2 linked regions of the Daphnia pulex genome follow. The protein of the gene in region 1 purifies or fractionates together with the protein of each later gene. This does not show direct contact. Links are inferred from orthologs where the notes say so. Each region holds a gene or a part of one and is shown on either strand. Other genes may lie near its edges. The genes, in order: low-density lipoprotein receptor-related protein 6-like and axin-like.

Region 1 (15,606 bases):
ACGAAACGTTTGGCTCTGGGGCACGACGGTTTTCTTTAGGACGGGCGCCGCCCGAGTATTTGAGAGTTGAAGCGTCTTTGACAACTTTGTTGTTGTTGCTGCCGGCATCTACCGCAGCGCTGGTTCTTGGCACAGAGATGGCAGGTACCACCACCACCGGAGCTGGTGAGGCTTCGTTAGTCGATTGCTGTTGATGATTCAAATTCCGTGCGTTCACTTCAGGCAAAGTAACTCCCGAACTGCTATTGCTGCTGTTGCTGTTTCCGCCTTGACCTCGAACGGAAAGGAGACCGTAAGCCAGGGCAGAAAGTACCCGGTTGTCGGCATGCGGAGGACAATGAACACCAATCTCCACCTGACGTTGACCTTTGTTGATTTTTCGTTTGGTACGGCGTGAAGGTGGTTGGGCAGGATTGCGAGGATTCGTTTCCGACGGACTAGTAGCTTGAATCTGTTGGCTGGTTGGATGAAGCAATGAAGAGGTTGACATTTCGGTCGACAACCCGGCTTGCTGGTGGTCACTAACGTTCACATTGGACGGCCCTGAAGAGAGGAGATTCTGTCTCGAGTAACTGCGGAAGTTGTCCCAGTAATTGTTGGTTCTGGTGCCGGGCGGCACTCGATTGTTCAGCGTGACCTGCGGATCGAATCGGTCCATACCAGCGCACTCGTAGGCTGAGGCGCTCGATCTTTCAGCTTTAGGATCACGAAAAGGGTTGTGATGAACTTCACTGGTTCTGCCGGATGCTTCAGGGTGTTGAGGATTCGATTCGAGGCTCAGTTGAACAGTCGCCAAGTCTCTTTGAAGTTGAGTGAGCATATGGCAACATGTGCTCACAGCCTGAGCCAGAACATGGAAATCAGATCCACTATCGTTCCACGATGAGTTCACAGGAAGTCCCGATAGAGAGAAACTTGACGAAGCGTTTCGATTAACGGCCGCGGCATTACGGCTGCTGAATTGTAAATTGGAAACGGCCGATAGGAGACTTTCAGTCACCAAAGCCAATCGACGTTGCTCGACTACCATCAATTCACACAAGGAATTTGTTCGTTCCAATTGATTCTCTATTCGATCAAGACGTTCCTGAGCAAAAACAAATATTTATTGAAATATTGAAACAATTTATGTTGAAATTGACACTTACAATGGGGACGGTTGCGGGTAAACGTATTCCATTCCTGACGGATGTCTCAGCACTGTGCATGCGTTCATGCGACGTATGGTCATCTTGCCCGTTAACTTCCTCTATTCGAGTTTCTTCAGCTTCTTCGTTGGAGGAATCAAAAGAAGGTTCGCCTTGCGCAAACACGTCCAACAATGAACCGTTTACTTGGGACGAAGTTGAATATCTTTTAGGACTACCGAGAGAATCGTGACTCAGATTATTCTGAGGTGAATAGAGATGATTGCTGCTGGCACCTATTTGCTGCTGGAGTGTCCCTTTGTTCAAATGCCTGGGGACACCAGGGTTGATTCTTGGTATGGTAGGTGTTCTGGATGGCCCATTTGAAGACACATTGCGTAGAAAATCCAAGGGAAAATCTTTGGGCTTGCTGTTCTTCTCCTCATTCTGTTGAGTATAGGGATTGTAGTCGAGGTCTATGGAAACATTTTGCATCAATTCTTGCAGCTGGATAAGTCTTTGCTGAGCCTCTTGGAGTTTTCTAGCTCGATTGCTAATGGAAGTATAAACTGTTTCAGCATTGTTGGTCATTTCAGCTCTAGTTGCATTTGGAGTTGGTTCATCTGAGAATGGGGAATGCATCTGCTGTAACTGGGACATGGCATTATCATACTGCCACTTCTTTTGCTGCAGTTCACGCATCTTCTCTTGCATCTCCCTGTGCTCTCCTTCAGATGGGTTGTTGAGTGCTGATCCGGATTCATACAGAGATGTGGGTCTCTGGAAATCCCTGAAGGACGAGTTTGTACTAGACAAGAACTGATGATTGTTGTCTCTGACACCATTTGCATTCGCTGTTGAAGAACTTGTTCTAGAAGATCTACTTGTTCTACGGTGATCGGGAACATGATCAGAGTTCCTGTAATTGACGGATGAATTATCTTTATAACTAGACGATGACGTATTGCTCGTCACAGAGAGATTCCGTTGGCGATTTCCATTCACCGGTCTGCTTCCTGACATGATAAAATCACAGAATACTAGTCAAGAATGAAATTATACAGCCTGTTGTGTCGTCGTAGTTTATATGTAAAACAAAACAATAATGAACTGTTTTTGACGTATGAAGAATATAAATAAAACAAAAAAAAACTTTCTGCGTTTCGTCCGTTAGTTGACTAACAGATGGTGCTTTGACGTAAATACCGACGGCGTCGTTTATTTAAAAACGAATAATATAATTCAATTCATAAAGATATATCGAATAAACTATTGGATTTATTTTAAAGAAGAATTTATAACCAAACAAGTTTTGGGAAAAAAGACATGATTCAAATATGATTGATTTTATATGTTTCTTCTCATCGGCAACGCCACAAAAGCGCCACAAGTCACTGTGTGTGGGTTTCGTCAACTCCAGCGTGAGTGTCTATCGCTCACTTTTCTTCTGCAAGTCTCCAAAGGCAATATGGTAAAAGAGAGTTTTATCGTTAAATATTAGCAGTTTTTAATACCATCGACGTTTCTTATGTGTGTTTTATAGATTTGTGTGCTAATATGTATAAGTTCGTGTTGAGTTCATGTCTGATCGTTCTTTTCTTGTTTTTGTAAAGGGGGCCCACAAAACCTTGAAAGTCAAGAAGCTTCTGGCCAAGAAGATGAAGCAAAATAGGCCGATTCCTCAATGGATTCGTCTGAGGACTGACAATACCATCAGGTAATTACTACTAGCTATTTAATTCACAGTGAGCTTAATTAAGTCACAGTGAGCTAACAGTTTTTATATTACTCATTTCTAGATACAACGCCAAGCGTCGTCATTGGCGCAGGAAGAAGCTGAAGTTGTAAGGTGGATTGTCAGCAGAACCTTGAATTGCTCCTTGGTCAAAAGTGTGTTGAACCAACAAATTCTTCTTATTGTCGATGAGGATTTTGGAAGACGTATATGCTACTTGTCCAATGGAATCATACAAGGATCTATTCAAATGTATCTTGTTGTCTTAAATCATTTGCGAGTACTGTTCAGTTGGAACGATCTTAAGAACACCATCAATTAGCATTTATTTGTTGGTCCGTTTGATTAGATGCAAGTCGGTAAACATATCCATAATGTAGTAGTATTTCAACTTTTTATTAGGGGTTAGAGTAAGTTAACTCTTTGAATCGAGGTCCAAAATTCATAGTGGGTTAGGTTTGGAAAAGCGTTAGGGCAAAGTGGGAGTACGATATGAACGAGTTGGATTGATACCTTTTCATATTGAAAAACAATTCCCAAGGGGTTATGAAAGGGTCAAAACTCAACAGAAGAAGAAAAGGTAGAAGAGAAAGAGGCTGTATCTGGTGGATCTGGATGCCATAAACGGTAAATAGAAAAGGAAAAAAATGTACGGCAACGTTGACATACCATTATAGGGTAAAAAAAAATTAATCAAGATGGCGCCCAGTGGCTTGGTTTAGCCAGTGACAACTGTTTCGGAATTTAGTTGTTTTTGCGAATCATGAAGTTTTCATCAAACTGAACCTATAAGAAAACAACAGTTAATTGTTCGATTAGCGTTGTATAAACTTACCACAGTGTTTTACTTGCAATGTAGCTTGTATCATGTGCTTGGTGTTTAAATCGAAACGATGCGATTGTTGGTGCAGCTCTTGGCGGTTTTCCTTGTAACCGTCCAACAAGGTGCCTCTTCTCATCCTTGGCTTTTATTCGCCAATCGCAAAGATATTCGTTTGGTGGACGCCACTCAGCCAAGGAATCGAAACAACAATGTCACCATCATCATTAAGGATCTCGAGGATGCTGCTGCCCTTGATTATCATTATGAGAAGGGGATGGTCTGCTGGACAGACATTAGCCTTGAGATGATTCGATGTGCCTACCATCAGGGAGCCAATTTACTTAATAAAACAAATGTTATCACTACAGGTAAGATAATATTTTAGTGCAAGCTTTCGTAGTTGCTTAATTTTGTTTTTGTGAAAGGTTTGGTGTCCCCAGATGGGCTGGCGATAGATTGGTTGGGGAACAAGTTGTATTGGACAGATAGTGAAACCAATCGCCTTGAAGTTTCAACACTGAATGGAGAAAACAGAAAAGTTCTTTTTTGGGAGGACTTGGATCAGCCAAGAGCCATCTGCTTGTTTCCAAAGAAAGGCTTGCTGTTCTGGACCGATTGGGGAGAGAATCCCAAAATTGAATCTGCTGGCATGAATGGTGATCTTACAACAAGACATGTCATTATCAAGGATGAAATATTTTGGCCCAATGGACTGACTATTGATTATGAAGAAGAGGCCATATTTTGGGCCGACGCCAAGTTGAATATCATCTGTTCAGCCAGTCTAACTGGTGCAAATCGGAGAACAGTAAGTCAGGGAGATTTACAACATCCGTTTGCTTTGACCATGTACAAAAATGTGCTGTACTGGACCGATTGGCAGACCAAATCCATTCATTCATGCAATAAGAAAACGGGAGCTGGTAGGAAAGCTGTTCTTGGCTCTTCTCTTACTCCTATGGACATTCACGTGTACGACCAAGAGAGGCAACCCTATAGCGCCTTACCGTGTCAGAATCAGAATGCCAAGTGTTCTCATCTTTGTCTCTCAGCTCCTTATCCTCCATGGTTCACCTGTGCATGCCCCACAGGGTCAAAATTAGTCGACAATTTTACGTGCGCTGATGGTGCTCAACAGTTGTTGCTGTTGGCAAGGCGTACTGATCTGAGGCGCATCTCACTCGACACTCCTGACTACACAGACGTCGTTCTACCTTTGGATGGCGTCAAACACGCCATCGCAGTCGACTACGATCCCGTTGATGGATTTGTCTACTGGTCAGATGACGAAGTTCGAGGCATTCGTCGTGCAAAACTTGATGGCAGTCAACAGGTAATTCGTCATGAAATATGCTTTCGTTACTGTTGTTATTTCATTTCGTTTTCTAGGAGGATGTTGTTATGGCTGAAGTTGACCACCCGGACGGAATTGCTGTAGACTGGATCGGCCGTAACCTTTATTGGACAGATACTGGGACGGATAGAATTGAAGTTGCTCGACTCAATGGCACCTGGCGTAAGGTGCTCATATCAGAAAATTTGGATGAACCCCGTGCCCTGGCCTTAGATCCTGAAGTTGGCTGGATGTTTTGGACTGATTGGGGTAAAGAGCCGAAAATTGAACGAGCTTCCATGGATGGCTCGGATCGCGTAGTCCTTGTAAATACTTCCTTGGGCTGGCCCAACGGTATCGCTCTCGATTACGTTCAGCGTCGCCTCTACTGGTGTGATGCAAAAACGGACAAAATTGAAGTGGCTGACATGGACGGCTCCAAACGCAAAGAAATACTCAGCGAAAATGTGCCCCACATTTTCGGTTTCTCCTTGCTCGGCGATTTTCTCTACTGGACAGACTGGCAACATCGTAGTATTGAGAGAGTGCATAAGTGGACGGGCGAGGATCGCAAAATCATTGTAGATCAGCTCCCAGATCTTATGGGACTGAAAGCAATCAATATCACAGAGGTAGAACAATTCATTAAAAACATTTTGTTTTGTGCCAATTTTAAAGCTTATGAATTTGCAGGTTCGAGGGACAAATCCTTGTGCTGTTGGAAATGGTGGTTGTTCCCACTTGTGCCTGAACCGACCAGGCAAATATGTTTGTGCCTGTCCCATCGGTTACGAATTGACGGCTGATGAGATTAACTGTGTGATTCCGGAAGCTTTCTTGCTCTTCACTCGTAAAGAAGACATTCGCCGCATCAGTTTAGAAGCAAACCACAAAAACGTTATCATTCCGATTGCTGGTGTCAAAGAAGCTAGTGCCTTAGATTTCGACGTCAACGACAATCGCATTTACTGGACAGATATAGGAGTCAAGTCCATTTCGCGAGCCTTTATGAACGGATCAAATCTGGAAGTGGTGGTTGAATTTGGTTTGGAGTATCCAGAAGGCATGGCTGTCGACTGGGTGGCCCACAATATCTATTGGGCAGACATGGGAAGCCATCGTGTGGAAGTGGCCCGACTTGACGGATCTTCGCGGCGTGTTTTGATTTGGAAAGATTTGAAAAATCCACGCAGCATCGCCCTAGACCCAGGAGAAGGCTACATGTACCTCGGTGTCTGGGGTTCTGTCCCACACATTGAACGCGCTGGACTAGATGGGAGCCAACGCATCACTTTGGTCAATGGTGTAGGTCGCGTCAACGGGTTGGTGGTAGACTTTGCCGACAGACGCCTCTACTGGGCCGATGTTGACGGCAAGCACATTGAGAGCTGTGACCTAGACGGCAAACAACGACAAGTTGTGGTCTCGGGTAATATGCCTCAGCCGCACGGCCTGACGCAGTATGAGGAGTTTATTTACTGGGCTGACTGGACAACACGCTCGATCGAGAGAGCCCACAAGCAATCGGGTGAAAACAGAACACGTATCCAAACTCAGGTAGATTACGTTATGGATATTCTCGTCTTCCATTCGTCGCGACAGTCCGGCTGGAACCCCTGTGCTGTCAATAACGGAGGGTGTTCTCACCTGTGCCTTGCTCTACCAGCTGGATCTACTAGTAGTTCCTCACCTCGTACTCAGCCATCAGTTTCTTCTACAACGACCGCTGCATCTTCTTCATCAGCATCGACGTCGTCTGCTGCTGCAGCGACAAATCTACCAGCAACTACAGTAGTCGTCCGTCAATCGCATACTCATCGATGTACCTGTCCCACCCATTACGAGCTTGTGGCAGACAACAAAACATGTGTCGCCCCGAAATCATTTCTTCTCTTCAGCCAAAAGAATTACATCAACCGACTTCTTCCGAGTTCCCCTGATAGCCCGGATGTGATTCTGCCTATTCGAGGCTTGAAACAAGTATTATATCCTTTTTATTTTTGTATTGGTTATAGAAATTTTGCTTCTAACGCTTATCTGTGTATTGTTTCAAGGTTCGTGGTATTGAGTTTGACCCAGTGGGACAGCACTTGTACTGGATAGACGGACGATCACAAACCATTCGTCGCGCCCTAGATAATGGGACACAAGCTTCAGTTGTTGTGGCCAATCCAACACAGTCACTACATCCATACGATTTGGCAGTGGAACCTTATTCACGAGTTCTCTTTTGGAGTTGCTCAAGGTTCAATGCCATCAACGCTACCAGAATCGACAATCACCTTTCTGTTGGTATCCTGGTTGGAGGTCCGTCCACCAGCGACAAACCAAGGAACTTGGCCGTTCACCCTGTCAAAGGATGGCTGTTCTTCACCAACTTAGTCTCGCCGGCCCGAATCGAACGGTGCCGTTTAGACGGTAGTGACCGCGTCAAGATAATAGAAACAGATATTGACCAACCTTCAGCGCTGACTATCGACACAGAAGAGGAGATGATCTTTTGGGCTGACACCAGTTTGAAGGTCATCGAAGTTGCAGCTCTAGACGGAACCAACCGCAGGAAGTTGATCTCTTCTCAATTAGTTCAGCCTATTGCATTAACTGTTCACGGACGGCACCTTTATTGGTTAGAAAAGGATTCACAACTCATCGAACGAGCACTCAAGATTAACGGTGAAGACAGACAAAGAGTCCAGGGTCGGATTCCATATTTGTCGGATTTACTTTCAACGTCTACACTGGATCCAAATACTCTAGCATCCAATCCGTGTTATCCACCCAACTCAGGCTGTGGTCATCTTTGCGTATTGATGGATTCCGGCGAACGTGGCAGATGTGCTTGTCCATTAAACATGATACTCGAGGATGGCAAAACGTGTGTTGAACCACCTGCTTGTTCTCCAGAACATTTTACCTGTCGTTCCGGAATTTACGAAACGGGACCGTCTGGAAGCGGGGCCACTCGCTGCATTCCCCTGTCGTGGCGTTGTGATGGTCAGACGGAATGTTCAGATGCTTCGGATGAAGAAGATTGCCCAGAATGTCGGCCAGATCAGTTCCGGTGCCAGACCGGCCAGTGCATCGCTAAGAAACATGAATGTGATGGCGTCCCTCAATGTATGGATCGATCAGATGAACAAAGGTGTTGTCCCCTTGGACAATTTTACTGTTCAGAACTTTGTCTTCCCGATATTCTTCTTTGCGATGGTGTGCCTCATTGCCCGGATGAATCCGACGAATCAGTTACTTCCTGCGCAAACCGTGTGGCTAATCCGTTAGCCGGTGATTCGTCCATCAGGACTACTTACATCATCGGCATTGTGGTTGGATTGGGATCGGTTGCACTCCTTTGTGTTCTCTTTTTCTGTTGGCATAGACGACATCACAGCCACGCTGACCCTGACGAAGGAGCCCACGATCCTCTCAATCCAGTTGCGCCCCGGCACACTATTGTACCCGGCCACACTCAACTGCAAACAGACTATCAACTTCAATATGTCAGTAATATTGTTGGTGAAAGGACGGCAGGTGTAGGAGCATCCTCTCACCTCGGCAGCAGCGCGGTGGACCTCTTGAGCGGCCGTGGAGTGAAAAATGGGGGAGCCATTATTGTGGATGGAGGTGGCGTCGTGGTTGGTTCAAGTTCCAGCTGCCAATTGTACGACCGCAGTCATGTTACTGGTGCATCGAGTTCGAGTTCGAGCGGTCCTGGATATCCTCAGGAGACTCTAAATCCACCGCCCAGCCCGGCAACAGATACACGATCTCACTGCACGGAACCATACTGCTGTACAGCTGTGAGTGGTCAATCTCACAAGTCGCACACATTGAGCCGTCAGACTGCTCGTGGGCACCATCTGGGACATCAACCCAGGCTAAGTGGTACTTCGAGCCAAGTTTATTCTACTTTACGATCTTATAAGCATTACAAAGTCCGCAACCAGCCTCCACCACCCACACCCTGCAGTACCGACAACTTCGAAGAATCGGATTCGCAAGTGGCTTATCACAGTTCACCTTCGCCTTCGTCTATACCCAAGATGGGCCCAGGATTTAAAAATGCTGGTAGAAGGCAACAGTCTTCACATCGACACCAACGATTGGGAGCGGACTACGATAGTGATCCTTACCCTCCACCACCTACTCCAGCAAGATCACATTACGTGTCAGATGCATCATGTCCGCCATCACCTTCGACAGAACGATCATATTTTAATCCTTTACCCCCTCCACCTTCTCCATCACCTCAGTAGATTTAGATGTTCTACAATTTTTTATTAGATTTTTTTCCCCATAAATGAACGCGGAATCGGAATTATTTGAACGAAACTGTACAGCTATTTTAATCATGTAAATAATTTCTAACAAGAAGACAATCATGTGCTCCTTGACTTTCTTTTTCTCGATCCTCTCCTTCCACCTGGGTAGCCGCGTAACCCATCGTGTTATCTATGAATATATCTATTACTACTATGCTCCCTTTTGATTGAGTGCAAAATTATGAGAAAAATTTGGTACGGTTGACATCTCATTTCGTTACTTCGTTTTTTTTTCTCCCGGCAACTAATTTCTTTCCCAAGTTTCGTGAAAATACGGGCAGGAGACTGCCTCATTGTGCCAACCACTCCGTTGTATTGCCTTAAATAATACACTGTGGTATCTCTTCTTATGGAGTCTTCAGCGTCCGATTGATGTTCAACATCACAAGTCAAGTCTTTAAAAAAAGTTAAGACCGCAACTTGGTGGACACTGGGCACTTAGTCAAAGTGTTCTCTATTACGGCCATTGGCGGGTTATTATTACGGAATGTCATACTCATCTTGTTTTAAAGTAAGCTATTGCTATTTACATACAATTATTTTAGTTTCTGGGGGGGGGGGGGAATGGAAATTGAATATTTCTATCGTGGGGTTTGTTTTTCATATCGCACCACTTGTTAGATTCTTTTTCAGGTTCTTACGCTTCTAATTTGTAGATATCCCCGTATCTCTGATCAGATGTCTCATCGCATCTGATTTGTCATCGAGAGGCTGTAAGCAAATGGGGCATCTCTTTTTTTTACATTAAAAACAGAAAATATTTCGTGTTGATTAATTTTGTGTGTTTGTTGACAATTCACTTATTTTCGTAGATTATTTACTAATAATCTACTAGCTTTAAACTCGGTCTGTGTAATAATTTCTAAATCAGGCCTTGAAGGGCGTGACGAATTCAAATTTGGCTGCTGCGTGCAAGCAATCCAATTGGCTGTCGCTAGGTGGCGCGAATGTTTTCAGGGGACTAAATTCGGCCATTTTGTTCCTTGACGCAGCAGAAGTGGGATGCCGGTCGTGACGTTTCCCATGATGAAAATGTTAAGGTATATGGCAATCCGTCATAAAGGTATTTTTGTTAATTTCTTAGTGTTACTTAATGTTAAATTTCGTTGTGTTAATTGACAGGTGATTTCAATACCACTTTGTCAAAACATGTAACTCGGACTTTCGAGAGCCTGTCCATTTTGCCGAAATGTCGTGCCTCGTGTCTTGCTGCCAGTCGTACGTCTCGTCCCTAGCAAAAGCAAAAGTAATTATGTTTATCTAATTTTCTACTAAAGTACTTGGTTAATATGACTAGAGATCAATTTGCATTTGAATACCTTGCCAATTCTAACTTCCTATGTAAAATTTGAGATATCGGAAAGATCTGTTGGACTGCGTAGCTTGTGTGTGAGCAGTACTCCTGGTATTCCTTTGTCCTAAAGAGTCCTGTGTAATTGTGCACACACTGTCTTTCCCCGATGGTAATTATTTTGTTTTCTTAAATAGGTCTGCTGTTGGTTATCTTGTTGCAGCCAGGTGGAGAAAGATGTGATGGGGACTAATTGAACTGTTGTATGCAGCGTGTGGTTCCAGTGTTATCCAGAAGTAGCTGTGCTGGCGGTATCCTGAACTAGCATGAAGCAGCCTGAAGTTGCCAGTGATATCCGGGTCGCTGACTTTAAATATTTTTCTGTTTGTATTTGTGTATTTTGCCCTGCCAATGTTATCCTGTGTGTGAAATAATCTGTTCTCTTTTGTGTGTTTTTTTTGCTCTACCAGTGATTTCCTGTGTTGCAGTCTTGAAATGGTTTCACTGTCGTCTTTGGCGTTTTTATTGTGCAGTATACGATTGAGGCAACCTGATCTATGTCAGGTTTGACACAGTCGACAACTGCTAGATTAAATTCCGGCTTTCTGCACCAACAAAATAATAACGGCACATGTTATTATCGCGGTTGGGAAAGTCACAGGCCCCCCCCTCCCTGGGGGCCATAAATATATATCTATAATATTGTGTTTGAATAAATAAAATAAACATTTTGCATAGCAAAATATTTTGTTAATTTTTTTAATAAAAAAAAAAGAATGAAAGGACATCGCCAATTTTTGTCGAAAAAGACTTAGTAAATAAATAATATGGTGGTTGTTTTATGAAGCGGAAAAAAATGATAAAAATTTGGACAGGAAATTATTTATTTTGGTTATAAATTAAATATAGGTTGTAATAATCGTTGTATGCATAGGGAAAAAAGAACAAAATAGGTTTGTTTCATATTTTATTGTTAGCGAAGTAATAATATTGATATTGGTCATAAATGTGAAGAGCGAACAAGTTGAAACGTTATATGAGGAGATACAGTTGATTGCGAATCATAAGGGAGAATTACTTCGTGGTCAAACTAATATTTCTCCAAAAATACATCAGAACTTCTCATTGCTATTTCCCTTTCGACCAGACGAATAACCAACGGCGGACATGCAGTTTACTCAGGGAAAAGGGACAACAGATATGCATTTGTAAATTGTGCAGTCTTGAATTTCAGCAACCTCTTTTCGGCTTCACCAATGGATCAAGTCTGGAACGGCGGCGTACGATTGAACTGAAAACGACAACGGAGATTTAGTTGCAAGTCAATAATTTAAAAAAAAAAACTCATCCAGCATTACCTCAATGTGGGTACAGGTAGCAAGAGAATACACCAACAAAATGCCAGACAACTTTCAGGAGACACCAACTTTTGCACAACAGCTCAACACTGCATGGACACCAACAATGTTAGTCGAAGTCTGAAGTAGAACTTCCAAGTCTGCAGAAGATCCATTTCAGCACATCTCCAAATTGGAACATGACTGCCGCACCACTGCACACCAGACATCACCACCATTAACAGCTCCAACACCAAACTCGCAAAGAATTCCTACAAAACAAAAGAATGTTAAAAAACCAAGATTATTTTCAAACAAATACAAAAAAATTCAGTTGTGTATGAAAAAATATTGTTAAAAAACTACAACTTTTTACAAGCTGATGAAAATAGTTTCTAAAGGATCTTATTCTAAGCAGTTGGTAGTTTTTCAAATGTCTCCATATATTTCTAAATCAAGAATTCTACTCCCAACTTGAGTAACTTCTAAGCAAAGAACAGCACATGCATGGACTAAAATTTAAGCTAAATGCTAACATACTCAAGTTGTTTTACACAAGTAGATGTTACCATTTCAGATTTCCTTCCGTTTTCTTCACATTTTCATCTCGCAACATGATAAAGACCTCATCAAGGGCATGATCACAGAGGCATCTTGTTGACTTGGCACTGCACGTTGAGAATAATTTCCACCAACCTGTCACAAATTAAATTAGTAAAATCAGAGAGTAAAATATACTTTTAAAATTGTGATTAACTGAAGTGCATGTCTTCACAAGCTCAATTCAAGTTCAGCTCTCAATTGAAAAAATTCACAAAACTATCAAAGAAAAATATTGGCAAATGATGGGTTACTTAGGATTACTTATGTATGATAATTCATAATAAAACTTTCTATCAGAAATTAGATTACAGAATTTTAATGTGGAAAAACAAACTCTTATAATTATTAAGTTACTCAATATTATTACTTGTACTGTTCTATAGTACTTCAACATGCAACGAAACGTGCAACATGGCGCAAGAGACGACATTTTGGACAAGTGTACTTCAGGCATGGCCACATGGAATTGGCTAGCATAAATTTAAGGCCATGTAACCCGTAAATTAACCCGTAAATTAACCATAAAAAAACATTAACATTAAGAATGAAATCAGGAATTACCTTTTTTATGGAGAACATGTCAGGAAAGAAATTACCTCGCAATGACTAACGTAACCATCCTCGACGGCGTCTCGATAGAAAAGAAATAAATGGACGTCATTCGTCTCAGAACTTTGGTTTGATGCCCCCTCCCCTCCCCTAATACCAATACACTAGGGCTGAATAGTTCAATCCCTAAACACACTGAAATATTTAGCCACCTAGTGACAGCACTTGGCATCCACGGACGAAAAATAAACAAATATTTGTCTCCGTGGAATACATTTAGTAGATAAAAAAAAGCAATTATCGAAAAATAAAAATTAACAAGTGTTAATTTTTTGTTGGTGGAATAGTTATCGTCAGTCATCACCAGAAGGTTACCACACAGCAACTGCGAATACATTTTTACAGGGATGTGCAAAGTAACTAAAACTGACTAATTTGACAACTGAAAATGATTAATAAAGGCTATATATAAAGCCACTTGAAAAAAAAGGGGTCAGTGATGGTAAGGAGGCTTGGAAGTTTTCACACATGAAGGAAAATGATGATTATCGAACTTGTTAAGCAGTAAGATACCCATAATCAGGAATTTCGAGTAGAAACAAAATATGAGTACAAAAATAAACTGTGCAAGCACTAGAATCAGTAAAGTAACTTACACTTAAAATGGCGTTGGATTAATCACTAATAAATGACGAAGAACAAAGCGATGAGGCTAACAGTCCTAACACAATCTAACTACAGCGAAGGGACCGATTAATGCTGCTCACTTAGGACAGCTTGACAGATTTCAGAAGTATAATAAATTTTATGATGAGATTGTATTCTTCATTATATTGTGGTAGGGTTTTATATTTTATTTATCAGGAAGTGTTTTCATTGAAAACACTCGTCCAAAAATTTTATCAAGCATCCTTTAAGACGTTTGACTATCCGACATTTGGAGAACGACATCCTTAATAATCGTAATTCATAATTGCAATTATTATTTTAATTGTAATTATATAACTCGCATCGCTCAAAGTTGTCTTCAAGGATACAAGATCGGATATGTCTAAATTAATGGTTGTAAAACGGCTCTTTAAGTACGGATTTCTTTATCAATTTAGCTAACAGCTGAAGCGTCACAAGAATGCGATTTACATCAAAACCACTTCATTTTTAAAATATTAAGAAATAGTTTATAAAGCGCAATTTTTTCTTATCTAAAGTTCATTTTTTCCTTTTATGAGCATGTGCTTAGTTTACTTGTGTTGTAGTTGTAATAGGACGAAAAGGCTATATTGCGTAGGTTTCTTTGATTACGAGTCAAACCCCTTGCGGATATAGTCTTCCGAGACACAAATGGCGGAACATTTGTGGGAGGGGGGGGGGGGTGATTCTTTCTTTTGTCTGTAATCTTTAAGCCTTGGCCCTTGGGGTAGGTAGGTAGATATGATAGGTGCGCGCAGTCCCTTTAAGCCAGAAATATGTTTGAAAAATACCCGTATTCGGCAAATTTGAGGACTTGTGTTCTACCATCTGTCAAAACAAATGGCTAGTAAAAATCTTAGCATAACAAACACACAATTCTTCTTTTTTGTCCGATATACACACTGGTACCGAGGAAATTTAATAGCCCCTCATACTGTGTGTTAAGAATAGCTGAGTGATCACGTAACAAAGAGGTGTGTAGAAATTTTGGGTTCTTGAAAGGATTGACTTATTCTTATGTAACTTTTTATTATTTTAATTCTTCTCGCATTTTTATCATAAGTTTCGTCTCTGTTTGATTGGTAGGCTAGTCTAGCTTTTGATTGGTAATGATCTCATTTAAGTAAAATTTTAACCTTTTCCATCGAATCAGCTTCGTATTCAGCAGTGGCTATTCAGCGGTTCAGTCGCAATACGTAATCGCTGCAAAAAATCGATAAAACATTACAAACAATTGATAAATCAAGGGTTCGTACAATTATTCTAATTTAATAAAAACTACTTAATTTAAAAAAAAATGCAACGATCTTGACACAGTAGTGACAAATACCGTCAATAAAATAAATAGATAAATGGACAATTAAGTTGTTTTGTCTTTTCATCCCATAGCCCACGGTTCTTGTTCGTTTGTGTCCAAATAGAAAATACCTCGAGCACTTATTGACAGAAAAAAAAATAGTGAAATCAGTGCAAATGTTAAAAATGAGTGGAAAGTCGATGAAATCACTTACTTTAAAGAAACTGTGTCTCCCATAAGCTCTTTGTCGTTTCCATCACAGGAGCCGTTCTGGAATGACTCGTACGAGTCACAGCGCAGTGATACAAAACCAACTTCCGTGTTGATAGATTCCGCAAATAAATCAACAGCACGGCAGTGATGGCAGCATGCTACAGAATAAAAATGTACCAATTTTAATTATGTAACTCATTTCTTTTACACGATTGATAACTTTAAAAATCTTACTGTAATCCGGATCCTGACAACCGGGCTGCTTGTGGCCTCCATTAACATAAAAATC
Region 2 (15,606 bases), on another chromosome or scaffold:
ATGTCATTCCTTATCTTTCAGAGAATACTCGATGGATGTGTACAAATCAGACGATTGCGAAGTTAAAAAAAAAATATTCTGGCTAAGGCAAATCTTCCAACATTTTTTTTTCTTAAATTAGTTTTTTTTTTGGCCCAGACAAAGTATAAAAAGGAAATGCAGGAGGGAAGAAAGAAGTCTCAGCGCGACAATTAAACAAATATTCATTCATGCTGGAAAAAGGGTAAATTACTACGACACGATTGTTGCACGCTTCTCAAAATAAAAGAGAAAAGAAATAAAAGAAACTCGATTTCTATCAAAAGACAGGAGTTAAGAGAAAAAACAACGCGTGAATCGATGAAAAACGACAATGACAAAAATAGAACTGACATCATACAAAATAAAAGACAGGGCTGAAGATTTTGAAGGAGGGTAATGTTAAGCTGCAACATAAACTCAGGTTCATTTTAAAGAGTTTTTTTTTGTAAAGTTTTCAAGACAATATCTTTTCCATAACATCATCAATTCTAATCGACAAGCTTGACGATACCCAGCACTTTGTCTTCCCAGAGTGGTAGAATCTCAGAGTCGTCAATAACCTCCTGATTGACTGCCATCGCTACGTCGTCCTCGCAATTCGTCTTAAAGTAGTACCTAATTAACAAAAGATGATTAGAGTACAAAGCTTTGTGAAAAATAATTAAGAGTCTTCCTTACTTGTAGTTTCCTTTTTTGGGCACACAAATTTCTTTGAATTGCTTGAGCGTGACAGTTCGTCCAGGTATCCGGCTGCGGTAGGGCACGGGCTCATCTCCAAAAGTGAACGTCACAACAGTGCATTCTGTTGGGGCTGAGCTTCCTTCACCTGTGAATCAAAATGGAATGAGTGGGGGCGAACAACCAACGCTGCTGAATTGTTCCTTGTTTACCTGAGAGAGCTCCACTACTTGCTGGTTTCTTCATCGTTGTCGAGTGAGTGGAAGTTGGCTGTGATACGCTAGGTCTAGAATGATTGGATCAATAAATGAATCAAATAAGTGAATTTAGTTTTCGTTTTATTAAACTTACTTTGGCTTGGTTGGAGGACGATTTCTAGCCATATCGTCTTCACTTTGCGTTAAATGACCGGCGGAAGCTCCAGCTCGTTCCAGCGATTCCGACCTCGAAGTCCCGTAAGCGGACTTGTGTTGCCGACTCCTTCTGGAAGAAATGGGTGAAGTCGAACTCGGTGGACGCGACCTAACCATCAAAAAAGAAATTGTTAGAGATCCACCCGATTAGGCCTGAGTTGATTAAACAATTACCTGTGCTTGCTGGAAGACGGATCTCTATCAGCTTCTTGCCATTTGTCATTGGTGCTGATCCAGTGGAGCACTTTTTCCTTGGGTGGCTGTGAAGGCGGTGCCATTAGTGTTCCAGGATTAGGGTCCGTATGGAGGCAAAGACCACTGTCATGGACACGATCGTATTCTGATTTCTTGCTGCCGATGGCACTGCTAGCTCCCCCAAGAGAGGACGTCATACCAATCCGGCGCGTATCAGGAATTGATTGCGACTTGGAAAAGTGAGCTCGATTTTCTCTTCCGCTGTCACCTTGATCGAGAATCGCACCCGAGTCTGCTGAGTAGGTCGAACCCTTTTCGATATCCTGAAAATTAAAATATTCCGTAAAGTCCCAGTTCACGAAGAATTAGAATTGAATAGACATTTACCTTGTCTTTTCGCCGATGATGGGCTGAGGAGCGTTGGAAATAGCCGGGTCCATATGCAGAAGAGCTCATTATTGGTGGCCCACTGGTTTTCGTTGGAATAGCCACAGAATTCGGTGGCAATCGACGCCGGTTCTCTGGAGACCACGGCCGAGGTGAAGGTGCACCGGGTGATCGCAATGGCGTCTGATCTGCCCAGATTCTTTGGACGTGGTTATCTGTAAAAATAATAATATTCCACTCGATTAAGATAGAACTTCACAACAGATCAAATCGTGCACATTACCGAGAATCGATTGTGTGTCGGCTTCATTTGAAGAAGCGATTTTGGACAGTGCTTCTGCCAAAACACGAGCTGAGCATTCAGATCCGGGTTTGAAGCGGGCGCCTTGCGGGCATGGCTCATCCAATCCACTGGCTTCACTATCCCTCTGTATGAAAACAAATAGTTTTTGCTTAAAATGCACTTTGGCTGTTTAAAGAGAAAACGTGGGAAAATGCCACCAACCTCAGCGACAATCCGGAGCAACTTTTCTTCAGATTCCCGATCTCGTTTAACGGCTTCCAACTTTTGGATGAGCTCAGCGGCGAATTCTTGCGGCGTCTTGGGCATCACCTGCTGCGACCAAACAAGAAAAAACATTCCCTTTTTATTTAAAAAAAAAAACCTGATTCAGTCGTGATGAATGTCGAGGTGTATAACCTGTTCTTTGGGTGGAAGACGCTGAGTTCGCGGGATGAATGGCTGGTTTATAGACGGATCACGATTTCTCATACAGTCGTTTGAAATCTTTTGCCGAGCTTTGCGCAGTTGGTGCCGGTTAGGCTTGGCCGGGTAAAACAGGACAGAACCATCGCTATAAAACGACACGTTTGTTACAAGTTAATGTTGAACGAATAATTACTGAAATAAAATTGTTTGCAGGCTCTAAAACATTTAAAAAATATAACTAAAAATAAAGAAACATTCATTCGAAATTCTTACACAGAACCATCGGTCAGTGAGCGAGTGTCGTCCGTATGAGCATCAGAGGATATCTCGGAATCCTGGCGTGAAACGGGATTGTACGGCGCGTAATAGCTGGTTGTGTGCACGGAGTGATATGGGTTGTGGGGCACTCGACTACTACCCCGTAAATAAACGTAAAGAAAAAAACGGAAACCGAAAAAAAAAAACGAAATAATAAGTGAATTGAAATAAGAATCATAACGGCATTCCAATTAAATAAAAATTCAGGCAAAAGTTTGAAAAAAAAATAAAAAATGAGAAAGAAAGAAATTGATCATGCAATTTTTCAAAGACATTCTATAACGATGACTCACCTTGGGTAGAGGCCGCCTACTGGTCGGGATTCGACGTTCATCCGGACATTCTTGGTGGCCATGAGAGCGTCATGCGTCAGTGGGATTGGCTTGTTGAGCTCGACGGCAGGATAAGAGAATTCAGAATCTTCGTGCAAAGTAGGCAATGGCCCTAGGTGAGGTCCTCGATCATCTGAAGCGCCCGTTCCGGCGAGATCAGGGGCGACGGAAGATTTGGCGGTGATGTCTGAACCTCCTCCTTGACTCCGGCCGCTTCGAGGCGAATCCGGGATGCCATTTTGCATAGACTAGATAATTTATAAGAGGACGTAAAATGAGATAGATGTCAAAGCGATGAAAGTGATCGACTCTTTACTTGAATGTAAGATAAATAGACGTCCGAATTTAGGAAGTTGACGTAAACTGAGCTGCGGATAAGATCTTCGACATCCTTTTGCGCTTCGTCAAAGATATGCGCGTCAAGGGTAGCTTTGTTGGCCACTCGGTCGTTAATCTCACGCCGATTCAGTTCCGACACATTGACCCTTTTGAGCCGGATGTACTTTTTGTAAATGACTTGGATGATTTGGACAGCTTTTTCGGGATCTTCTGCCCAGTTTCGTTTGAGGCCTTCGCAGGCAAACCAAAACTGCAAAACAAAAAATGAGTGAAAAATACGAAAAAGAAATTGCAGTTGATGGGGACATACTTTGAGTAAATGAGAACAATTTTCCTGTTCGAGATATTTTTCAAAGAGTTCGACGCCGTCGGGATCGGTCAGGAGGAAATGAAGATTTTCAGCCCATCGCAAATAGGGCGGCGTTTCGACCAAGGGTGGAGACGTGGAGGCCGATCCTTCAGCCGGTTCGTAGCGGCGAGCCAAGTCGTTCTCGTCCATCGACTGGCCATGTCTGCGAGGCGTCAGGACGGGTGATGAACCTTTGGAGGGCGACAGCGTCGAAGGATGCGACGGGCCCCGCCTTCCGAACCGTGAAGCCCATGGATCCATCTTCACCTGACTTGACGGCACATTTTCTTCACCTGAATTAAAAACGCAACAACATTAGAATGAATGTAATAAGCACACACAAAGGCGACCAGTTGGATCATACCTGGGAAGACAGGGGGTCGAGGAGCAGATTCCGAAAAACGAATCACAGATCCACCTCCATTCATCACTTAACACTGTACAAGTTCGTTGTAGTCAACGGACGATAAATAAAACAGGAGCAGCATCACCTGGACACGAAAGAGATGCAACGAAATGGTTAGCACACATTTTAACATGGCCAGAAACTCGAATCACAACTTGATGTCACTGGTTAGAGCAAAAACATCAACATTGGACTCTTCTACTGAACCGAAGTTGGCAATTTCACAAAATAAACTAAACTCTGCTGCCACAGCAACTGTGTGTAGAGAATCCATCCAGAGAAATTCGTTCCCAGATCCCATATCCGGCTTTGGAAGACCCACTCTTCCGCCCACCAGCCCCCCCCTCCTCTTCTAGCCCCCCTCCTCACCATCAGAAAGCAAAAAAAGAAATAACTGCAAGTTTTTGGTGGGTAAGCATTGATTGGAATCGTTGGAGCGCGAAATATAATCTGACAACGTAACAATGAGTAGGGAGATTTTTCATTTTTTGGTGAGTGCAAGATAACAATAGGAAAAAATGGACTACAATAGAGATGGAAAAAACGGAGGTTGCTTACCAGGCAGCATCTAGTTCCAGACTGGTGAAATAAGAGGGGTGAAGCGAAGGAGGAGTTGGTTTCTTCTATGAGGCACGCTATGAATAAGGCACACTGCGACGAATCACTACTGCATCAACATAATTGGACGGTCTGTGGGGGTTGCAACTATTGGGTCGATCTCTTCAGTCCTTAATGAGGCCCGATATCTTCACATGAGTGGTCCAATTGTTGTCACGGGTTCTGGATGAAATCCTGTAATACAAGAGTACAAGAGTTATCGACCAGTTTGTTAACCATAAGCAGAAGCTATTGTGTTTTCCACTACTCAAATGTTCACAATATTTGACAGCTGGAAAAAACTGGATGAGAGCCCCTGGATTACAAATGAGAAGGGAGAGAAGAGTGAAATTGCTCTCCGAGTTCTCCCCACTCACTACAAAAGCTCTCACCAGGTCGATCAATACAGACTCTGCTCACAATCCTGACAAAAGAGTGATGCCTCCCCGTAGTCAAGACTTGCATTTCATTTTCCATCACATTCAATAAGTCTGAGTGGTAAATGGAGTTGCCTAGATTGCAAATAATCACTGGGCACGCGAGTCTAGGTAAACCCATCGCTTGCCCATTGTCACTTTTTCAGATGTGTATGCAGTAGGGGCATAACCTAGGGGCATCACTCTGTCAGATTTCTGTTTCTCCTCTTAATTTACCTTTTCCATCGAATTTTCACTCGAATTTTTTCAGATTAATTTCGGCCGTCGTGTCAACAACGGGCCACAACTCAGGGAAAGAAACAGAAAACACAAAAAAATGAAATAAATGAAACTCGAAAAAAAGACGGACGGCTTCTGCTCAACTCCAAACAACTCAGTTCCCATTCCCCCTATATCGTATCGAGAAACGTACACCCGATGTCTATATATCGATAGTTGGCTAGAAATCGATTCGCCAAGACATTCTTCTTCCTCACAAGTTCCTTTATTCTTTCTTTCTTTTTCTTCAGCTTTTCGCCATGACTTTGCAGGTGCCGACATTCTTTCACAAAAATCGCCTAATGATCTTTACTTTTTTTTACATTGGCAATAATCTTATGCATACATCTCGAGTGTTGCCTGCATAATGCTTCCATGAAAGGGCATCAAAGTGTACCGAACAAATAACACCCAAAAAAGAAGAAAAGGGGGGAAGCCTTGGAGCGGGTTCATGTAACTCAAATTCCTTCCTTCTGTGGAAATGTCGCCTCTGCTGTATTTATATATATATTTTCTAAAAAGCGATTGAGTTGTATATATAATATCACGTCAAAGTTAAAAGCTAGATCAATCCAGCCAGGTCGATCTACGCCTCCTGGCGTTTTGCCCTCACCTGGATTCGTTGTGTGCCATCAAGACATCATGTCGGTCTTGTACCTACTCTGATGATTGCCCTTAATGGTGGTTACATACATTTTCATAGGACTAGAGAGGGTATTCTTCTTCGGCGGTAGCCACCACACACTCAAGGTCTTCACGTCGGGCCAAGAAGAAAAAACAAGCCGCGCGATAATCAAGACTATGTGTTAAAAAAAGGAAGGCGGCGGTGGCGGCGGCGGCGGCCTTTCTTCTATTGACCCGCGGCTCTTTTTTGAGTATATTTCAAGTTAAAAAATAGAAAAATAAAAAAAAAGGCTTTTAACCAGCAGCATGCTGGCTTGCGGGGTTCGAGATGTTGATGTCATCTATCTCTTTCTTCAAAATGCTGGAGAGAATGTGTTGTCCGGGGAAAAAAAAACGAAATTCCATTGCCGACGACGTGTCAAGGTAAAGTGACTCTTGGTCGATTACGCGACCAGCAGCAGATGGATTCAAGCCAACAAAATGCCGCAGCATCGTAAATATAGATCAGCTCTTTTTCTTATTATTATTAGGATAGGATGGTGGGAATTGTTGTCTGCTGCCGCGCGGCGAAATTATCAAACGGCGGCGGCCGCCCAAAAGGAGGAGGAGGAGGCCACTTCCGCCGACAGCCAAGTTGATGGATGTCCCGGATCAATTTGCATCCGACTCAATTGCATCTTATATAGTATATTATAATAAAAGATGGATGTTCTCAAAATATATCTACCTACCTGGAATCAAATCGAAGCTGCTGCTGCTGAAGTCGGCAAATTAGTTCCACCGTTGGACCAAAAGATGATGGATGAACAACAACAACAACAATTGCACTTCACCGCGGACACGTCTAAACACCTCGCCGACCAACTCCTTTCTTATACCCCCACCAGATATCTGTGTCATTCGGGTAGGAAAAAAAATAAAGATGGATCTGATATTTATACCGCGAGTTAAAGGTCTTGCCACATTTTGAGGCTTTTATCTGCGCTCAAAATTTTAAAAAGTGGCGGCGGCGGCGGTTTGGTCTATTGGTCGCACTCATTTGTCTCGCACGATGATGATGATCACTCAGCGGACCCTGGGCAGTCTAACTGTGCAGCAGCAGCTTCATTGGGAATTATCTCTCCTACACACATACACACACACACATACAGACACGGGGAAATCAGATTACACACTGGCGCGCGAGCGCGGCGGTTTCTTTTTTAACTTTTGGGGTAAAGAGGAAAGAGAAAAAGAGCCGCGCTACTCCAAGATAAGAAAATCTTAAATGAAAGAAAAGAACGCGACATCTTGGCGGCGCTAGTCATTAATACTGATGCGCCATGGATATATAGTGCATCCGTTGTATACAAACAACGAGTATTATTATTATTATTATTATTATTATTTGGAATTTATTATTTTATAAGAAAAAGAGGGGGTCTTTTATGTTCATTAATGCGCTAGCAACGCCAGATTTTATCATCGACTTTCATTAGGGAAAAAATAAAGAATTTGAGTCATCGAGATTACTGGCGATAAAAGATGGATTGATTCGCGTTTAATTCCGGCCTATAAATGTCGTCCATGTCTTGATATATGAGTCACACACAAGAATAAATCTACGCAATCTTAAGAGCTCAAGAGAGAATTGATTTCATTTTGATTGACACTCTCTCCAGATTAAGTTTCGAATGGTTTAAATGACGAGAGAGGATATAGTATTATTTACTTCTTCTTCAAACACCGTAATATAACGGTAGATGTGTACATCAAGTCATCAAATCCTGCCCCGTAAAACTGCCAAGTCACATTGAAATGAAGATTTTTCCCTTTTGAAAAACAATTTTTTTGTTTATCCCTTTCTTTTTTCAAACAGATTCCAAATCTTTTAATCGCCTGTAGCTTCGTGTGGGTTCAAGAGTGAAACACTTTTACGATATCTGCCGCCTTTTATAATAAATCATCGACACTTTGAAATCTTCACTAAAGCCTTTGGCCATGAAGTACGTACACAAGGATAACTAGGAGGACGTCTAGCGGTCCAACTTTGGACTCGGTTTTGAAAACCTTTGCTTACGTCACACGATATGGAAAAATTATAATAAATAAAAAAAAAACGCTTAGATCGGCTGAATCGACACACATTGATCGGAAAACATATGTTGCGAAATAATACGGACTTTGCTATTTGTCCCCCGCGCAAGACCTTTGAATTATTGACCAGTTCCGGATCAATAACTATTGCGGATGAGTAGTATATTATGAATGAATTTTGAGCAATGAGTTTTCGGGCTTTCTCCTGATGGGTGCACGCAGGTGCAGCCAAATCTCATTATCAGTTTGAATAGATTATATGATTTTCTTTGCGGGAAATCGTATTACACACAAAGGGGGTGGAATCACGCAAAGTGTTTCAAGGCGATAATTATGAGCTTGCTCAATTCATTCATCGTTATGTATTTGTTCCGATTGAGGTATACTATAGTGATTACTTTGTTAGTGAGACAGACCCGTATGATGTTACCGACCGTTTTGAGCAAGACAGGTAGACAAATCTATTTCGTGACATTAGATAAACGTGTGTATATAGTATGCTAAAGGTGAAAGAACATTTGTTTCGCAGTAGCTGCTGTTGACCAATGTTTCGATTTGACATCGAACCGGTATAACCGAATATCTATAATATCTTTGTGAAGTGACGAAATTTAACCTTTCTTTATCTTTTTCTCATATGAAAACTTTTTACCGTGTTTTACGCATCAGAACCCGGCTAAGATCACGGTTCAAGATTTTGAAATACAGAAATGGAATCTTGTACAAATAATATAATGTTCGTTGGACCGGATTTCTTTCCGCAAATAAAAGACGTCACCTCTTTGGTGAATCAATTTCCCGATAGTGATTCTACATATGTCCTAGACGAAACTGTCCCTTCCACCATTCGATAAAATGGCGCTGTCCTCACAATATTTTATTTTAAAAAAATTAAAAATATAATTTATGTGACAATGAGACAGGGAAGATGATCGCCACTCAAATTTCTTTCAAAATAAATAAAAACAAAGATAGAAGATTTGCGCAAGTCAGGGAGCCTTTGTTTAAGTAAACACAAATGTACCATTGTACCTAGTGTGAATGTTAACCGTCAGCTTTAGTTTTGGAAGGGTGGGCGACATTAGATGGCGCGTCTCTTAAGTCATCGGTCAGACCGCGTTCACGACCAAGTCATTATGCATAAGAGAAATATCGTGATAAATTAACTTTGGGACTCTCAGGTTAATTTTTAAAAATATGGCAACACCTTAAATCTGCCACTGTTTACCAAAAATTTTAAAATCAAGGGAGGAACTTAAGTGAGGATGTAATCAAAAATGGCAGATTGAAATCGTTGAAATATCCTTTTTTTAAAATCTATAGCCTTCTTCAGTCAAACTGGTAATGGGCGGTGTTTGTATAGTTGTACAATCCCCGTGTCCAGAAGCTTGATGAGGAAACAAGAGAAGTAACTGACAACTTCTGCTGCCAAGCTGCACAGCCAGCCATCTCCACCGTAAACGCACGTCAAGAACAGGTCAAGAAGTGTGATAGACTCATTTAAAAAGGGTAATATTAAACCCCCCAGAAAATTATGAATAGCACATACCATCGAATTTAAGTACATACTACCATAAATGATGAGGAATAAGAAAAGGTCAAACAACACGATTGAGATTATATATGGGACAGAACCCGATTTATTGAGAAAAAGAACGAATGAAAAAAAAATTAAAAAACCGAAGCTAATAATGAAAGAAACTGAACCAGCCCTACAATCGATAATGGTCAACTTGCTCGGCTGTCTCCATCGTAACTTACCGTAAAGAATTGGTGGACTCATTTAAGGGTAATTAAACCCCCTGTCAAGGTAGTCAAATGTTACACTGACATGTAGGGTGAGGACAACCTACTTCTCTGACTGTTAGAGGAGTTGTATTGTGTAAGCACTTTCGTACTTCCCAATGACAAATCATCTTGTGCAGTTCAAAGTATATTCAGAAGTCCCCACGCACAACAGCGACACACCAACTCCATTGACAGGTTCACCCACCATTCCCTTCCGGATTGTTACGAGGAGGGAGCGTCATCACAAATCAACAAATATCAATCGCAAGACTGACATTCAGCTTCTAACATTACTTAACTTCGGTAAAAAAACACAAAAAAACAAAAACCAAATCAACTGCAACTCATCCAAAGAAAATCGAAGATTAAACATAAGGGCGGCTTTAATTCCTGTAACGTTTCCGTTCTTCAAACGCTTTATAATCCCACATTTTCTTCTCTGTTTTCTTGATCTCCGTCATGTCTAACCAGCTGTCGTATTGGTACCGAAGTCTCGGTTCTATTAATAAGTCCTTTGCACGATTAAGTGCCTGGCTTAGTCGGTTTGCCTTCATCAACGCTTTTTCAACATCATCTGTTTGTATCTGATTGACCTTGTCCGGATGGGCTTGTAGAATTTTCTCTTTGTAGGACTTCATGATTTTTTCGTCGGTGTCTGTCCTTTTCACGTTCAGAATCTTGTAGTAATCTGGTAGCGCGTAAGAGCTGAGCTCTAGTTCGTCCACAGTGTCGTTCAATTCGCAGTTTTTCTGTGTCAACTCGGCAACCCTAGACTCCAGCTGCATCAAGTGTTCGTTTTGTTCATCGATTACTTTTGAATACCTCGTATCCATTTCTTCCATCTCAGTGCGGTGGTTTTCTTCGCATTCATCAATTATAGAGTACAACTCTGAGATAATTTCTTCAAGTTCATTGTTTTTGCAGTTTCTGTTGTTAAGCAAAGTTTGGTAGTATTGTCGAATTTTTCCGACGCTTTCCTGGTGGTCGCTTTCTAACTCCTGGATTTTCTTCTTTGACAAGGCTTTTTCTTCCTCAAGTTCTTTTGCTTTGCTGTCTAGTTGGAGGACAAGCTTTTCGTTTGCGCTTTGAAGAATATTACGGGCAGCGTGGAACCCTCTCATCTTTCGTTGCATAGATGTATTATGAGCGCATATCTTTTTGTACTGATCTTCAAGTTCCTCAATCCTGTTATCAACGACCGTCGTAGGAAGTTGCACATCCACGGTTTGAGTCGACTTATCCTCCTGTTCCGGGACTAGTATCACGTTGTTCTGTGCTAGTGCGGACTTGGTGTTGGCAGGATTAAAATCATCAACGTCGTCGACATTCAGTGCTGATTGGTTGTTCTTCAGGTGCGAGATGGTTTTCTCGAAGTTGGTGATGTCTCGATTTTTGGCATACAGTTCACACCTGGTAGAAATTAGCTCGTCACGTACCTCGTCATGTTCTGAGCTCAACGTGGAAAGTTCAAGTTTCAGTTGGATAACTTGATTTGCCAAACGTTCATTGTCTCTTTTCAACTTGCCATTCTCCTCTGTTTGGAATTGCTCATCGGGAATGCTGGTTGTTGTTAGCATTTCCGAATCCACTGTGAGCCGCTGTCTGGTGTCTTGACAAACTTCCGGTTCAACATCGACGCTGTTTGGGTATTCAGCTGATGAATGCTGATTTTTGGTACTAGGAGAAGATTTTTCGGTAAAATATTTCACCCAAACCCAAATCACAACGATTTCCAATAAAAGACCCATCTCGAAATATCTGCTGAAAACTTTTGTAAACCAAAACTACTAAGCAGTCTTATTATCTGTTGGCGTTGACTTGGGCTTTATATAACCTGCCATGGGAATCATTACTTATGCAGGGCTGTTTTTTCCTTCTTTTTCTTTCACCTCTTATTAGGTTTTTTCTTTTTAACATTCGTACTGAACTTAAATCATAGTTTATAAATTTGCGCATGTTATTCAATTAGTGTGAAGTTGATTGAAAATAACTATCAACTCTTTTTTTCCATTTTAAAACTCAGCATTGTGCTCGAGAAAAGTCGAGATTACGGTTTGCCTGGTTTGAAAATGCGACAGAGCGCCTGGGCGGTAAATTTGCAAACTAAATAACTTGTCTAAACTTGAATTCGTCGATGAAATTTATTCGGTAAATTAGTCAAATCGTCAAATTACCAAGTATATTTATTAAATTTGAGTTAAAACCCGGTTTAAACCACCATGGTTTTTTACACTGCAAAGCGAACGACATTGTAAAATGTGTTTAGGGATGAATGTTTCGGCTTGTTTTGGAGAGGGGGTAACCAGCAGTAGAACACAAGCGAGTAGCGTGGGTTGTTTCACTGAAATTTACAAATCGTAATTTATTACACAAAATGCCGAAAAGCGAGTTTTATTTACGATATTATGTTGGGCACAAGGGAAAATTCGGCCACGAGTTTCTCGAGTTTGAATTTAGGCCTGATGGTAACTAAATATCATGTTATTTGATGTCACATTTGCACCTTTCACTAAATACCGGGTCGTCCTAATTTCTTTTTAGGCAAACTGAGATACGCCAATAATTCCAATTATAAAAATGACACCATGATCAGAAAAGAGGTAATTTCAACAAGATATATGTTTATCAAGATCTGCAACATTTGATTTCTTTCTTTAGGCATATGTTCATCAAAGTGTTTTGAATGAGTTGAAACGAGTTATCGAAGACTCTGAAATTCTTCAAGAAGATGATTCCCTGTGGCCAACTCCTGATCGTGTTGGAAGACAAGAGCTTGAAATTGTCATGGGAGATGAACACATTTCATTCTCAACATCAAAGATTGGCTCCCTTGTAGATGTCAATCAATCAAAGTAAATCTATATTATTTTGAAACCAGTAAATTAGTTTAATTTCCCTTAATATTTTACAGAGATGCTGATGGATTACGTGCATTTTACTATCTGGTCCAGGATTTGAAGTGTCTCGTGTTCTCTCTCATTGGTCTCCACTTCAAGATCAAACCCATTTAAAGATTTTGACTGTGATGTGTATTGTCAAATGTCAATTTTCCATCTAACTATCCCATATGGTGTATGATTTTTTTTTGTCCAAGTAATAAAAAAGGATTTCTTGAAGAATTTTGTTTTAGTACTCAAACATGACAAAGTGTAGTGTATTCATGAACATATATTCTTTTTATAATCAGACAAAAATGAAAAGTGAAGGATACTGATTTTTGACAACAGAAGGGTGTTAATTTGGGTGTGTAATGTTATCAATAGAAACCCTGGAGGATGAAAGCCGTTGTTTATAGATTTTTCATGAGCTATCTTGTTCGAGATATCTACATTACGGGACCTCGCTAGAATGTAGAATGAATATGATTAAAAAACCGGTTAAACGTCCTTGCGAATAGGAAAGATCGATTTTACGCAACAAATGCACGAGACCTGGCGATACTGGCTTATGGCATTTCTTGTAAATGCGTAAATAAAACTAACTGGCCTACTTTTTTCCAACATATTTTGCAATACTTTCAACTGAATTATTTCCTCAAATATTTTCCGAACCGTTAAATGAAATGAGTCAATGTCAATGACACATCACATCCCACGCTATTTAAATGTCCTAAGCTCTCTCCCCTGCCTACACTGAAAATGTTAACAACTAACTGAAATAGATACAATTTGACCTTAAATTTTAAATTTTATGATTTCCAAATCATTTAGTAATGGAACCAAGTTTAATTCACTTTCTTTAAAAAAAAGTTAAGTAAAATAAACTTGTCAAGTTCAACCTGAGCAATGTGTGTTTAGGGTAGGTGTGTTGCAAAAGAAATTGCCTACCCTAGGTTTCCATTCCTTTGCTTCCGTTTTGCGGATCGTTCTGCCTTTACGTTTTTTTGGCTGTCTGTTGAAACATGTCATACTCGAACGATAACAGGTACTGCTGCCGATTTCGTGGTTTATTTGTCTTTTTCGTGTCGTTTAAGTTTCCAAAGATACGTCCTTAGTCGCTTTAATTAGTGCTGTTACTCTGGAATTTATTAGATCAGTCATTCCTTGAGAGTTAAACGTTAAAATTTGGGATTTTGTCACGAGTGCCCCGGCTGGTACATCATGGCGGCGTGGGGTTGATTCATTTTTTGCTAAATGCTTTAACTGAATTAATATGGAGTTATTTTATTGTGTCCTGTAGTAATATTCATTGTGATAGTTGTAATCATGTGGTTTCATTTAACATTCTATGGTCTTCCACATATGCAAGTTAACTCATTCTGAAATGTCTGTTTCAGGGAAGAGAATTGGAGCGGGAAGGCTCCCAAGAATGGGACTGAAGAACGTCCTGAAGGAGAGGCTGAGGACCGTGGAAACTATGATGGCCCACCAGGCATGGACCCTGACGGTGTCATTGAGTCCAACTGGGATAAAGTGAGTTCAAGGACACCAGAATCTCAAGTAGCATCGTAACATGAAACATTACTTTTTTTTACAGATTGTGGACAACTTCGATGAGATGAAGTTGAAGGAGAAGCTGCTGCGTGGTATCTATGCTTATGGTTTTGAGCGTCCCTCTGCCATTCAGCAGCGTGCCATCTTGCCCTGTATTATGGGTCATGATGTTATTGCTCAAGCCCAGTCTGGTACCGGCAAGACGGCGACTTTCGCCATCTCGTTGTTGCAGCAGATTGACATCGATGCCAATGAATGTCAGGCGCTCGTGTTGGCTCCCACTCGCGAGTTGGCCCAGCAGATTCAGAAAGTATGAGTCAAGTGGTTATGGGTTGAGTGAACTTGGATTTTAAACAGATTTCAACAACTTAGGTCGTTTTGGCCCTTGGTGACTACATGGATGCGCAATGCCACGCTTGCATTGGTGGAACCAATGTTCGTGAAGATCTTCGCAAACTGTCACAAGGTGTCCACGTCGTCGTTGGAACTCCAGGTCGTGTCTTCGACATGATCAACCGACGAGCATTGAGTAAGTCCATGATACCATCTTCTTCATTGTGTGCATTCGTTCATTGAAATTCTTTTCACAAATATTCAGAGACGAATTGCATCAAAGTCTTCGTGTTGGATGAAGCCGATGAAATGTTGTCTCGTGGTTTCAAGGATCAGATTTATGATGTTTTCAAGAATTTGCCCGCTGAAGTGCAGGTGAGTGAAAATGGCGAGTTAAAATACGTATAGAGTATCAATTTCGACTAATTTATCATAGGTCATTCTGCTTTCGGCCACGATGCCGGCTGATGTCATGGAAGTAACGAATCACTTCATGCGTAACCCCATCCGAATTCTCGTCAAGAAGGAGGAACTGACGCTTGAAGGTATCAAGCAGTTCTACGTCCAGGTAATGAGATTACAGTCTTTTTTATTTTTCATGAGCTCAAAGTGACACCGAGTGTTGATTAGGTTGAACGCGAAGAGTGGAAGTTGGACACGTTGTGCGACTTGTACGATACGTTGAGTATTACTCAGGCCGTCATCTTCTGCAACACTCGCAGGAAAGTCGACTGGCTTACAGAGAAGATGCACGAGAGGGATTTCACCGTTTCTGCCATGCACGGTGAGATGGAGCAGAAGGAGCGTGACGTTATTATGCGCGAGTTCCGATCTGGTTCGTCCCGCGTCTTGATCACCACCGATCTCCTGGCTCGTGGTATTGACGTCCAGCAGGTTTCCCTCGTGATCAACT

Evidence for each region.
Region 2: the proteins of low-density lipoprotein receptor-related protein 6-like (region 1) and axin-like purify together in Homo sapiens (affinity purification with western blotting; 7 studies listed by BioGRID and IntAct, with this or other methods). This does not show direct contact. The link is inferred for Daphnia pulex from reciprocal best matches to the Homo sapiens genes LRP6 and AXIN1.

Annotation. Positions count from the first base shown.
Region 1 is NC_060019.1:8,497,291-8,512,896, reverse strand, and holds low-density lipoprotein receptor-related protein 6-like, read left to right. Parts: upstream 1-3,432; 5' UTR 3,433-3,755; coding exon 3,756-4,053; intron 4,054-4,110; coding exon 4,111-5,018; intron 5,019-5,074; coding exon 5,075-5,650; intron 5,651-5,711; coding exon 5,712-6,998; intron 6,999-7,072; coding exon 7,073-9,271; 3' UTR 9,272-9,687; downstream 9,688-15,606. Other genes in the region: uncharacterized protein LOC124190611, read right to left, coding at 1-1,087, 1,149-2,150; pancreatic lipase-related protein 2-like, read right to left, coding at 15,186-15,243, 15,319-15,475, 15,552-15,606. UniProt on the Homo sapiens protein: Component of the Wnt-Fzd-LRP5-LRP6 complex that triggers beta-catenin signaling through inducing aggregation of receptor-ligand complexes into ribosome-sized signalosomes.
Region 2 is NC_060025.1:2,831,603-2,847,208, reverse strand, and holds the start of axin-like, read right to left. Parts: upstream 6,946-15,606; 5' UTR 6,795-6,945; intron 5,620-6,794; exon of another isoform or gene 5,398-5,619; intron 5,360-5,397; exon of another isoform or gene 5,137-5,359; intron 4,940-5,136; 5' UTR 4,706-4,939; intron 4,233-4,705; 5' UTR 4,170-4,232; coding exon 4,106-4,169; intron 4,035-4,105; coding exon 3,703-4,034; intron 3,643-3,702; coding exon 3,370-3,642; intron 3,302-3,369; coding exon 3,015-3,301; intron 2,818-3,014; coding exon 2,677-2,817; intron 2,549-2,676; coding exon 2,395-2,548; intron 2,311-2,394; coding exon 2,200-2,310; intron 2,123-2,199; coding exon 1,978-2,122; intron 1,910-1,977; coding exon 1,695-1,909; intron 1,631-1,694; coding exon 1,287-1,630; intron 1,222-1,286; coding exon 1,051-1,221; intron 986-1,050; coding exon 912-985; intron 848-911; coding exon 700-847; intron 637-699; coding exon 510-636; 3' UTR 1-509. Other genes in the region: uncharacterized protein MCAP_0864-like, read right to left, coding at 10,311-11,675; protein mago nashi homolog, read left to right, coding at 12,302-12,392, 12,469-12,527, 12,586-12,779, 12,839-12,938; eukaryotic initiation factor 4A-I-like, read left to right, coding at 13,829-13,851, 14,204-14,339, 14,404-14,670, 14,733-14,889, 14,959-15,068, 15,130-15,261, 15,324-15,606. UniProt on the Homo sapiens protein: Component of the beta-catenin destruction complex required for regulating CTNNB1 levels through phosphorylation and ubiquitination, and modulating Wnt-signaling.